Linked DNA regions of Cricetulus griseus. The protein of the gene in region 3 binds, or shares a complex with, the protein of the main gene of each other region. Links are inferred from orthologs where the notes say so. Each region holds a gene or a part of one and is shown on either strand. Other genes may lie near its edges. The genes, in order: Golga4, Arfip2 and Arl1.

Region 1 (3,745 bases), on a different chromosome or scaffold from region 3:
CAACAGATATAAGGCACCTTGCCACTTATAAAAATACATACATTTCTTTTTGTCACAAAAAGTAGGTCAGAGTTTACATGCTGCAGTTAAACTGTCTCCTGTAACATCTACCATTCTATGTAAACAATACTTGTCTGCAGCTCTGATACTGTGTACCAATTAGGTCATCTTTGGGCTTTACAACTTCACCTACAGGAGGAATAATATCTACCTCATAGGTTTGTGTGAGGTTAAAATATCTGTTAACTGCTCAATAAGATACCCCGCAGGGACTCAAACCAATGGTGTTTGTTCTTAATGCTGCCTGAAAGATTTATTCAGCCAATTCTTCACCTGCCCCAGAATGCCAACACTAAAACAGCATCAGGGCTAGCAAGACAGCTCTGATGGCAAAATGCTTGAGTTCCATCTCAGAACCCAGGCTGAAAAAGACAAGTGTGGGGGCTGGAGAAATGCTCTTCCAGAAGACCCCAGTTCAATCCCAGGACCCACAGGGAAGCTCACAACTGTCTGTAAGTCCAGTTCCAGGGGACCTTTACACATAAACACTTCCAAGCAAAAACACCAATGCATGTAAAACAAAAATGAATTATTAAAAATAATGAAACACAGGTTGGTGGCACATGCTTGTAATCCCAGTGCTCAGGAGGCAGAGACAGGTGAATCCCAGGGTTTTCAGGTCAGAGAGACCAACCTATTTGGTGACTTCCAGGCCAGGGAGAAACTTTTATATCAAAAAAAAAAAAAAAAAAAAAAAGTTGGGGGAGGGATTCTGGAAAGACGGCTCAGAGGCGATGAGAATTTGTTGCTCTTGCAGAAGGCCAAGCAAGGTTCAGTTCCCAGAACCGACACGACGGCTCACAACCACACATGACTCAAGTTCCTTGAGATACAACAGCCTCTTCTGGCCTCTGTGAGCACTTGGCATGCGCATGGCATCCAGACACACACAGGTGAAACACTCACACAGATAAAAGAATTAAATCCAAAACTGTTTTTAAAATGGTAAAATAAAAAGTACAATGCCTGAGGATTGACGCCACGCTTGTCCTCTGGCCTCCACACCCACACGTACACACACACACCCACATGTACACACACCCACACGTACACACACCCACGTACACACACCCACACGTACACCCACACGTACACACACCCGTACACACACCCACACGTACACACACACACACACACACACACACGTACACACACCCACACGTACACACACACACACCCACACGTACACACACACACGTACACACACACACACACGTACACACACACATACGTATACACACACACATACGTATACACACACACATACGTATACACACACACACACGTACACACACACACACACACACACACACACACTAAAATGAAAACCGTACAACTAAATCTTTTCACATCCTAAACCTTCTCGGAATAAGTTTCTAGAAACAGGATGCCGGGTCGTTTTATATTTACACACCCTTAGTGCTCTCCCCCAATTAGCCAAGACGCCGCCTTTCTTGGAGCACCGACTTTCTAGGGTTCTAGGATCCCTCAAAGGAAGGGAGGGAGGAATCGGTGCTCAACCCACTGAGACTCAGAAAAGCCCGGGGAGTTTCAGCAGCAGCATCGGTGGTGGCGTCGAAACCCTGAGTCCGCTTCTCACACGAACACGCCCCCCTTTCCCTGGACCGAAACACACACGCCCCCTAAAAAGCAGCAAGAGCCGGGCGGCCGCAGGCTCCGTGCCCGCCCGCCGCCCGCCGTCACCCAGGTTCTGCGAAGTGACTAACTCGTGACAGCCTCGGAGGCTGGAACCGGCCCCGGGCGGGCTCCGGCAGGCGAGCGGCTCGACCGTCCGCCCTCGCTGCTCCATCGGGGGTTCGCTCGCAAGCGGGGCACTCGGGGGATCCTGGCCGTCCCGGGCTCCGGGTCCCGCGGCCGGGGGGGGGGTCAGAGGTCACACCCCACGCCGGACTCGAACCCGCCGCGCACCCCATCCTCGGGCCGGGCCGGTCCTAAGCGGGAGCACCGCGAGTAAGTCAGACGTCACGGCGGGGACGGGGGTGTGGGAGTAGCCAGGCCCGGGTCCCCACCGCGCCAGGACGGCCGCAGACCCAGGTCCTGGGGGGCGGAGGTCAAAGGTCACGGAGGAACGTCACCCCCCCCCGGGGCTCGGCGGCTCGGCGGCCGGCACCGGGCGCACCTGGGCAGGAGCTGACGCCTGCGGCGGCTGCAGCTGCTGCTGCTCCTCGCTGATCCTCTGCTTCAGCTTCTTGAACATGGCGCGGCGAGCGGCGAGCGGCCGGCGGCGTCTCTACCCGCGGGCGGCCGGGCCCGGGCCTCGCCGCCTTCCTGTGGAGCTCGCGGGCACCTCGGGGCGCTCGTCCTGCGGGCGTCGGCGTCGCCGCCGCCGCGTCGCTTCTTTCTGGGCGCCACTGGCTGCCCTCGGCGCCCCATCCAGCCCCCGTCAGCGGCGGCGGCGACAACGGCAGCAGGTGAACGCGCCCAGGGCGCCTGCGCGGCCGACGTGGAGCCTGACAAGAGCTGGCTACGGAGCGCCGCGGAGGACAAGAGTGGCAGAGGCGCGGGCGAGCGGGCGAGCGCGGGCGAGCATGCGCGCACGGCCGGGATCCCGCCTGCGCTGACGCCGGCGGAGGCTCTCGGAGCTGCGCAACCCAGCGGGGTGGGGTGGGGTGGGGGGACACCGGTTGAGCACCCAAGTGAAGAAGGCTGGGGTGAGAGAGGGTGGAGCTAGGGAGTCGGGCGTGTGTTCAGTGTGCGTTAGTACGATTACTGTAAGGATTCTCTCTGAGGGCTTTGGGTGGGTGGGTGGGTGGGTGGGTAGTTGCTTGGTTGATTTTAAGAGAAGGTCCTGGGGCTGAGGATGTAGAGTGCTTGCCTACCATACGCAGGAGAGCTTGGGTTCTATCCTCAGCACCGCATACACTGGGTGCGATGGTGTATTCCTGTAAACCCAACATCCAGAGGTGGAGACAGTAGGACCCTAAGTTCAAGGTCATCCTTGGCCACTTAACACTTTAAGGCCAGTTTGAGCCACAATGAGACCCTACCTCAAAAAATAAACAATTTGACCGTGTGTCGGTAGACTGACTTCGAATTTATGAGCTGAAGTGATTTTCCTGCCTCCAGAGTAGCTGCCTGAGGTCTACAGGTCCGAATTCTCAGCCCTTAGTGGTTAATACCTGCGGCTGCACTCCGGAGGAGCCGTCTCCCCACCACCCCAGACACTCCCATCTGCTAGAAAGGCTCCTACACTTGCACGATACAAAATACCCTGTGACCGCTGCTTGTCAATGCCCCGTGTGAAATTCCTCACCACCACTCTGGACTCGGCCCCGTTACTGACTGAATGGCATCCGCTCAGTTCTGATACTTTGGAGAGTACATGAAGATCTGGGCATGCTGACACACACGATTAATCCCAGCACTTGAAAAGCTGAGGCTGTTTGAGCTCTGTGAGTCTAGGCCAGCCAGAGCTACACTACATAGTGAGCTCCTGACCTCAGGCACAGAGAGAGAGAGAGAGAGAGAGAGAGAGAGAGAGAGAGAGAGAGAGAGAGAGAGAGAGAGAGAGAGAGAGAGAGAGAGAGGGAGAGAGAGAGAGACAGAGAGAGAGGAGAGAGAGAGGAGAGAGGGAGAGAGAGAGAGGGAGAGAGGGAAAGACAGAGAGGGAGAGAGAGGAGAGAGAGACAGACAGAGAGAGACAGACAGAGAGAGAGAGAGAGGG
Region 2 (3,745 bases), on a different chromosome or scaffold from region 3:
TGCACTGATTGGGAAGTGGGTGGGAGGTCAGAAATCTAAACTCCACCCCAACCCCGACAAGTAACTACTCCAACACCCCCATTCTCTTAGTCATAGCAAAAGACTATGTATTAAGATCTGGGGAAAAGGAAAAGGTACCCATGGAGAGTTTCTGGGAAGAGGCACTCGACTCTTACCTTATATGTGTTGATGCCCCATTTCTTGACGATGTCAAACTTCTCTCCGGCGATGCCCCGGGCCACCTCATCACCAGGGCCAGAAGGTGAGGTGCTGTGAGATGGATGGCGGCCAGACCCTAAAGGATCAAGTTCTCTAACACCAATTTCTCTCACATACAATCAGATACTTCTGTGACCTCACTTCCTTCCCTCCCAGCACATGAAATGACCTCTCTAAAAGAGGAAATCTAGATAACTGAATTCTTCTGCTCATTAGGGGGAACGGGGACTTAGGTCCCGAAAACCAAAGCAACTCAATGTATGTATTTGGCATTCCTGGGGTCGTGTAGGAGTGTTGTTGGGTGGACAGGGAAGGAAGAAACAGAAGCAAACATGATGAGTGGGACTGGAAGGGTCAAAGCTGGTGGGCACAGAAAACAGGGAAGCTGGTTTGTATTTCCAAGTAGAATTTTAGTCAGTATAAGACTCTTATAAAACTCTGAGAAGCTTCACAAAGTTGTAAATCAGCCTTAAGCTGCAGAGCTCTTGTGACTTATAGGTCTTAACTTGGCTCAGGTGGTGGCACCAGGGAAAGAAAAGACAATTGAGAAAGCTAGAATCTAAATGGCAAGTGGGAAGCAGATGATGAGCTCAGAGAGCTGATCTGGGATTGGACAGTCTATGGATTTCACACTAGCAGTTCTCAAGTTTCTCCAATCCATGATTCACGCTTTCCTATGTGTTCTATGTGCCTCCTAGTCTCCCTCCCACTCAAGCCTCCTGTCTCTTATCATTCATACCTGTGGGGATGAGTCCATCACCAGAGCCCCCATAGCCACCAGACACAATGCTAGTTTCATTGAGGTTGGGTCCTGACACCATCACCTGCTGGAGGTCCTATAGATCAGAGAAGAGGGGGCACTTCAGGAACATGGGGGTGGCTGAAATATTTTGGGGATAGAGACAGTATATAGTAAAGTCTGTATAGAATCATAATGACGACTTGAAAACTATAAGGAGGACTAACTAAATGAAGTCTATTGGGATGGGAAAAGCGAAACATTCAAGAGTCAGGATTGCTAAATTGAAACAATTAGAAGAATCAAACAGAAGCACCTGCTCCAGCCCATCGTCTTCAGGAAGCTGCCCAGCTTCACCATTTCCATGGATTGGGATCTCCATTGTGGCTGCCTTCCCTAGGATCCCGTCCGTCATGGCTAGGGAAGGTACTGGAGTCAAGGTCTCCACCCCAGCACGCTGTAAAGCCCAACACAGACAATTCTGGAAACTGGCCAGCACTCCAGAACAAGGAGGCCTTCCCTGTGTTCTAATAGGTTTCAGGGGTTGTCTGTTAGGACTTGGGTGTCCCTGGAGATCAGCCCCTACTTTCCTGGAGATGTGTATTTCTTCTCTTCCAAGTACATTATTTCTACAGATGCATGTATACCAAAGCCTTGGGTGTCTTCTCACAAACCCCAACCTCACCTTTAGTAACCTTTACACATTCAGTCACTCAACAAACACTTAGTGAGTGCCTACTATGCGTCAGATACTGAGGCAATGGGATTACAGCAGTGAGGGCCAGAGGGGAATGTCTGTGCTCTTTGGGAACTTGGCCCTGCATAGGCATGTTTACCAGAAGGCAAAACCCTTTCCTAGACTCGGATGCTCACTTGCCACTCAAGCATGCTCTGCAATCCCTGGTCTTTCAAATCCTTTGATGTTCCTTCCCCTCTTCCTTCAAATGGTCTCTCCTTTCTCCATCTCATGCACCTGCCTCCCTCAGGCCCTCCCCACCAGGCCTTAGTTGAAGCAGCTGGTGTGTTCCCGGTGTCAGTTAAAAGCTTCTTTCCCAGGACACAGGCAGTCCCTTCCAAAGTCAGTTTATGCCTTCCAGATGTGAGAGGTCCCCTCCACCACCCCCCCACACACCTGGGCATCAGGTGTGTCCTCATCCTTGCCAAGGGCTCAGGGCATCTTGCCCTCCGCACAGGTTCGTGCATTCAACTTCCTTTCGTACAAGTATGTCCTTCTCACCTGGGCCGGGCCACTCTTCCCCTCAGGGCGCGAGGGCCGGACCGCGCGGGGACCTCGGGTTCCAGTTCCCGTCGCGATCTTAGCAGCAGGTCAGAGATTCGGCGGAAGTGACGTGCCCTCTGGGCAGAAGAAGCCGGCCACGTCGCAGAGCAAAAGGGCGGAGGTGACGTTAGCAGACATGGGCTGGGCGATACTGGAACCACGCCTTGAAGCTCTTGGTGACTAGGGAGAATTTACTTCCGGGGTGACTCCGCGCCCCCAGGGAGGAAGTAAAGTGGGCTGCGTGCCCCGAGCGTGATGGAGCAGCAGCAGCAGCAACTAAGAAACGTGAGTAAGAGCTAAGTTGTTCTCGGGGTTAGACGTGCGGTTTGTTTTCTGGGGTACATGCAAGAACCCCCAGTGGGGAAGGCAGGCTGCACTGCGCACGCCAGGAACCCTCAGCGGTGGTGAAGCCTTGATCCGCTTTTCTCTTAGTTGCGAGATTTCCTGTTGGTCTACAATCGGATGACAGAACTGTGCTTCCAGCGCTGTGTGCCCAGCCTGCACCACCGAGCTCTGGACGCTGAGGAGGTGGGGACTGTGGGGACCCCAGAGGTTGACAACGTGACGTGTCCACCTCCCACCCCCCGTTTGCATCTCGGTCTCCCATGACCTCACCCCTAGGCTGGGGCCCCGGAGAGGAGGGCTTGACAGGACCCCTTTTGGTCTCTGCTTACCTCTGTCTTCCTTCCAGGAGGCCTGTCTACACAGCTGTGCTGGGAAGCTCATCCATTCTAACCACCGCCTCATGGCCGCTTACGTCCACCTCATGCCCGCCCTTGTCCAGCGCCGCATCGCGGACTACGAGGCTGCCTCGGCCGTGCCAGGTGTTACTGCAGAACAACCCAGAGACTCGCCATCAGGCAGCTAGCCATCGCCTGCCCCAGGAGAGAAGGTGCTTGGATGGGCTCCTCTATGAACCTTGGGCTTGTCGAAATTTGTACAGAAAGATTGAGCCTGAAAGCTGGGCACTATTGCTCCTTTTCTTGGAGCCAATAAACCGGGTTTTTACTCTGGTTGATTTTCTGGGCAGGAATTTATTTATGTCCACTTATTGGTACCAACCTTTATTCTGCCATTTAGTGCCTATCTTCTCCCCTCAGCCCTGGCAGTTGAGAAATTGCCTTCTGTAATGTAGTAGGACAAACTCAGCATTCTCAGATCCCCAGCAAAAACATAGTTTTAAGGTTAGTAATAGCAATGGGAAATTGGTTCCAAAAGGGGAGCTCTCAGTGGCTATCCTTGAGCCTAACTCAAATGCCTGAATATATATTGCATAATAACTAGTTTTCTTCTGAGCTGTAATACAAAAAGAATTGTGCTGCATCTAGGGGAAGAATGTGATATCAGACAACAAGAGGAAGAAGAAAACAGCACCACAATAGGCTTTAGCCACCAATTCTTAGGAGATCAAAGATAAGCCTGTAAGAATGTGGGAATATTGTCTAGAATTTCAATCATTTCCCCAGTTTACCATCTTAAATATTTCCTGTCTTTGTGAAATCAGCAAT
Region 3 (3,645 bases):
ACTCATGAAGACAACAGGAGAAAAAGCTGGAAGAGTTGCCTATTAGCTGCTATCTAAATGTTATCCCCAAGAAAAATCAACATTGCATCATATGCCAGTGTGGTAATGCACACTGGTCCCACACTAAGGAGGCTGAAGCAGGATCATATCCTGGGCTACATACCAAGACACTGGGGAAGAACAACACTATCCTATAGGAAGCTTCCCATACACGTGCACAGCTGGCTTCAAACACAGACACTTACCATTCCATGGCTTCATCAAGACCAGTGCCTTTGGTTGCTGATGTTTTAAATATTTGCCACTTTCGGTCCTTCAGAGCAGGTAACCCAAGTGCATTTGCCATTTCTGAGGGTGTCATGGCCTGCTCCATGTCCTGCTTATTTGCAAACACCACTAAAATGGCCTTTCTCAGCTCTTCTTCCTAAATAAAATGGAAAATGCTTCATTTACTTTTAATTTGCACCACTGACTTGAGGAAAAACAAAAAATAGTGTTTAAGAATGTGTGTTTGGGGCTGGAGAGATGGCTCAGCGGTTAAGAGCACTGCCTGCTGTTCCAAAGGTCCTGAGTTCGATTCCCAGCAACCACATGGTGGCTCACGACCATCTGTAATGAGATTTGGTGCCCTCTTCTGGCCTACAGGCATACATGCAAGCCGAGCACTGTACACATAATATTAAAAAAAAAAAAAGAATGTGTGTTTGTGTGTCCGTACTCCTATAAACAACTCTAATGAAATTCACTGGGTCACAATAACAACAAAAAGACACGGGCACAGAAGGGAGGCCAGTTGGGAAGAAGGGGTTAGTGGGAATGGAAGGAGAGAGAACAAGGGAAGACAGAAGGGAGTGCATAGAAACGAAATACAGTACGAACACACAGGAAAATGTCAAAGAAAGCCACTACCGTGCACAGTTAACACATGCTAAATAAGGCAGAAGCATTTATACACAGCAGAGTAAGAAGGAAAGAACAGCAATCTTAGCCAGGCAGTGGCAGCGCACACCTTTAATCCCAGCACTCGGCAGGCAGATCTCTGTGAGTTCCAGACCAACCTGGTATACAGAGCATGTGCCAGGACAGCACCCAAAGCCACAGAGAAACCCTGTCTGGGGGGGTGGGGAGGGACGACAAAAAACAAAAACAAAAACAAAAAACCAGCAATCTTGTACTTGGTAGGCTGGGGCAAATGGCTCAAGTCTGAAGCTAATCAGAATATATGACAGGCAAGTTCAGACCCACAAAGGCTAAAAGACCCTATCTCAAGAAAAAAAAAAAAGAAGAAGAAGAAGCACTAGTCAATCATCACTGATTTCTGCTCAGTCCTGATTTCCTGTTTTATTTGGTGACATTTAGCACATCTGAACTTGGAGGGTTTTGAGTTACACTTAAACCTATCTTTGCTTTTGTAAATCTTTCCATTGATTCAGAAAGGCTTTCCCAATCTCGTATTTTACACTTACTCACACATTCCTGTGGCTGATTTCCATATTTTACACATTATTTAATTTAGAATGTATTTACATATACAAAGAAGGTAAAAACCTAAAGTGCTTTGTGTTTATGTCTTAATGTCAACAGTACAAGCTGGCACTAGACCTATACTTTACACAACAGTGTCTGTTGATGAACACAAAAGCTCTTTCCTAACAACGTGACTTCCAGTTCTTGCTCTGTGAACTTTTCTTCTCTCCAGTAAGGGAATACACCAAGGTCTTGTGCAAGCTAGGTATGTGCTCTGCTGAGCTGCACCCACAGTGGGTTTTTTTGTTTGTTTTGTTTAATTAGAAATAAGCTTCTTTTATACATGTCAATCCCAGTTCCCTCTCCCTCCCCTCCTTCCTTACCCCCCCACCCCCATCCCAACCCCTTTCTGCTCCACAGGGAGGGCGAGGCCATCCATGGGGGATCTTCAAAGTCCCACAGTGGTTTTGAGTAACACTTTGAACTATGAAGTCCAGGATGGTCTCATGATCCTCTGCCTCTGCCTCCCAAGTACTAGAATACAGCATGTAAGTACAGGCCCGTCTCAGTGAGGTTGCAAATGACTCCTAATAATCTCACATGACTCAAGATTAAAAAATGAAGTTAGTAATCCATTTCCCTGAAATACTTCATATAATGTGAACCAGGACTAAAGTTGCTGTTTTAAAAACCCATTATATGTAACAACAATTAATGAAAACAGAGGCCATGAGTTTTATAGAGAGAAGTATAAGGAAGGTCTTAGAGGGAAGAAGGGAAAGGAGAAACCCTTTTCTTTTTTTTTTTGGGGGGGGGAGTCCGAGACAGGGTTTCTCTGTGGCTTTGGAGGATGTCCTGGAACATTTTTCAGTGACCTAATGAGTTTAATTGGACTTACTTACAGAATAATGGGTGCTTAGCAGTAGCTACACTACTGAAGAAAACATACTCCTTTCACTAGCAACCATCAACTGAGGACAAATCCTCAGGGAGGATGGGGCCTCTTGGATGATGTAATTATAACCTCAAAAAAATAATTTTAAAAATGTAAAAAATACATCTCTGGAACCTACATAAAGGAAGATGAGAACCAACTCTATGAAGTTGTGCTCTGATCTCCATGTAGAAGCATGTACATATATGCAAGCACATACACACATACACACTAATATTTTTTTTTTCTTTTTAAGTTGACTCAGATTAAAAGAGCTCTGAACTTTCAAGGAGTAATGAAATCTACCTTACAGGAAGTTTCAGGGTTGGATTTTTATTCCATCCATTTTCCAACTATATTTCTGGAATAGGAAGTAACGTGTACTTTTTAAAAAGAAAAGAAAGGGAGGAAGGGCAACAGACAGACAAAATGGGATAGAGGGATGACTCTGGTTAAGAGCACACACTGCTCATGCAGGGAACCCCCGTTTGATTCCCACACTCACACAGCAGATTACCACCATCTACAATCCCTGGTTTAGGCACATCATCTTCCAGCCTCTTCAGGCACCAGGCACACAGGTGGTGTAGAACCATACATGCAGCCAAACACACACACACAGGAAAATATTTTTAAATAAATCTTTAAGGGGGTAGGGAGAGTTAACAAGTGGTTAAGAGCACTTGGAGCTCCTGCAAAGGACCCAAGTTCGACTTTTAGCACCCACACATTGGCTCACAATCACCTATACCTCCACTCCCAGGAAATCTGATACGCTCTTCTGACCTCCACAGACACCAGGCATGTACATGGTACTCACACATAATGCAAACAAAACATTCATACAAAGAAAGAAATAAAACCTTAAAAAACAAATAGGAAAATGGAGGAAAACTGTTCCTGCATATTTTTTTAAATACCATTGTACTAGATAATATATACAAGAAAAAAGTAAACAAATGTAAATGATTCCTCTAGTTCCTCATTTAAATGTTCAATGTTAACTTTTAAATTTTTGCTTACCTCCAACATTGCAACTAACTCTGACTTGGAAATGCCAATTCGGTCTCGGTCACAACTGTCAACTACATAGATGACTGCGTCTGTGTTTGAATAGTAACATCTCCAGTATGGCCTAAAGAAAATTCAAAAATGGAAAACCCATGATCCCTTGAAAATATCTTAACATGTTAATTTACATGCTGGACTGGGTCAATGACAATGATTACATGCCAGCCCCGCTC

What was found.
Region 1: the proteins of Arl1 (region 3) and Golga4 are in contact, whole or in part, in a crystal structure (PDB 1UPT), measured with the Homo sapiens proteins. The link is inferred for Cricetulus griseus from reciprocal best matches to the Homo sapiens genes ARL1 and GOLGA4. Residues at the interface, in NP_001168.1 of Homo sapiens: Ile49, Gly50, Phe51, Gln64, Trp66, Ser73, Ile74, Pro76, Tyr77, Cys80, Tyr81, Ser83, Glu115; in NP_002069.2 of Homo sapiens: Thr2173, Glu2174, Glu2176, Tyr2177, Lys2180, Val2181, Glu2184, Glu2190, Thr2193, Lys2196, Val2197, Thr2200, Val2201.
Region 2: the proteins of Arl1 (region 3) and Arfip2 are in contact, whole or in part, in a crystal structure (PDB 4DCN), measured with the Homo sapiens proteins. The link is inferred for Cricetulus griseus from reciprocal best matches to the Homo sapiens genes ARL1 and ARFIP2. Residues at the interface, in NP_001168.1 of Homo sapiens: Glu17, Arg19, Gln38, Ile46, Ile49, Gly50, Phe51, Asn52, Val53, Glu54, Thr55, Gln64, Trp66, Ile74, Tyr77, Cys80, Tyr81; in NP_001363487.1 of Homo sapiens: Phe205, Thr212, Lys216, Thr217, Asp220, Asp278, Ile281, Lys282, Phe285, Leu286, Glu288, Asn289, Lys292.

Annotation. Positions count from the first base shown.
Region 1 is NC_048597.1:225,566,260-225,570,004, reverse strand, and holds the start of Golga4 (golgin subfamily A member 4), read right to left. Parts: upstream 2,497-3,745; 5' UTR 2,279-2,496; coding exon 2,201-2,278; intron 1-2,200. UniProt on the Homo sapiens protein: Involved in vesicular trafficking at the Golgi apparatus level. May play a role in delivery of transport vesicles containing GPI-linked proteins from the trans-Golgi network through its interaction with MACF1. Involved in endosome-to-Golgi trafficking.
Region 2 is NC_048596.1:94,063,200-94,066,944, reverse strand, and holds the start of Arfip2 (arfaptin-2), read right to left. Parts: upstream 2,346-3,745; 5' UTR 2,196-2,345; exon of another isoform or gene 2,091-2,195; intron 1,416-2,090; 5' UTR 1,374-1,415; coding exon 1,275-1,373; intron 1,056-1,274; coding exon 959-1,055; intron 296-958; coding exon 177-295; intron 5-176; coding exon 1-4. Other genes in the region: Timm10b (mitochondrial import inner membrane translocase subunit Tim10 B), read left to right, coding at 2,493-2,522, 2,670-2,765, 2,929-3,105. UniProt on the Homo sapiens protein: Plays a role in constitutive metalloproteinase (MMP) secretion from the trans Golgi network. May have important functions during vesicle biogenesis at certain cargo subdomains, which could be predominantly utilized by secreted MMPs, such as MMP7 and MMP2.
Region 3 is NW_023276806.1:154,781,046-154,784,690, reverse strand, and holds part of Arl1 (ADP-ribosylation factor-like protein 1), read right to left. Parts: intron 3,537-3,645; coding exon 3,425-3,536; intron 425-3,424; coding exon 246-424; intron 1-245. UniProt on the Homo sapiens protein: GTP-binding protein that recruits several effectors, such as golgins, arfaptins and Arf-GEFs to the trans-Golgi network, and modulates their functions at the Golgi complex.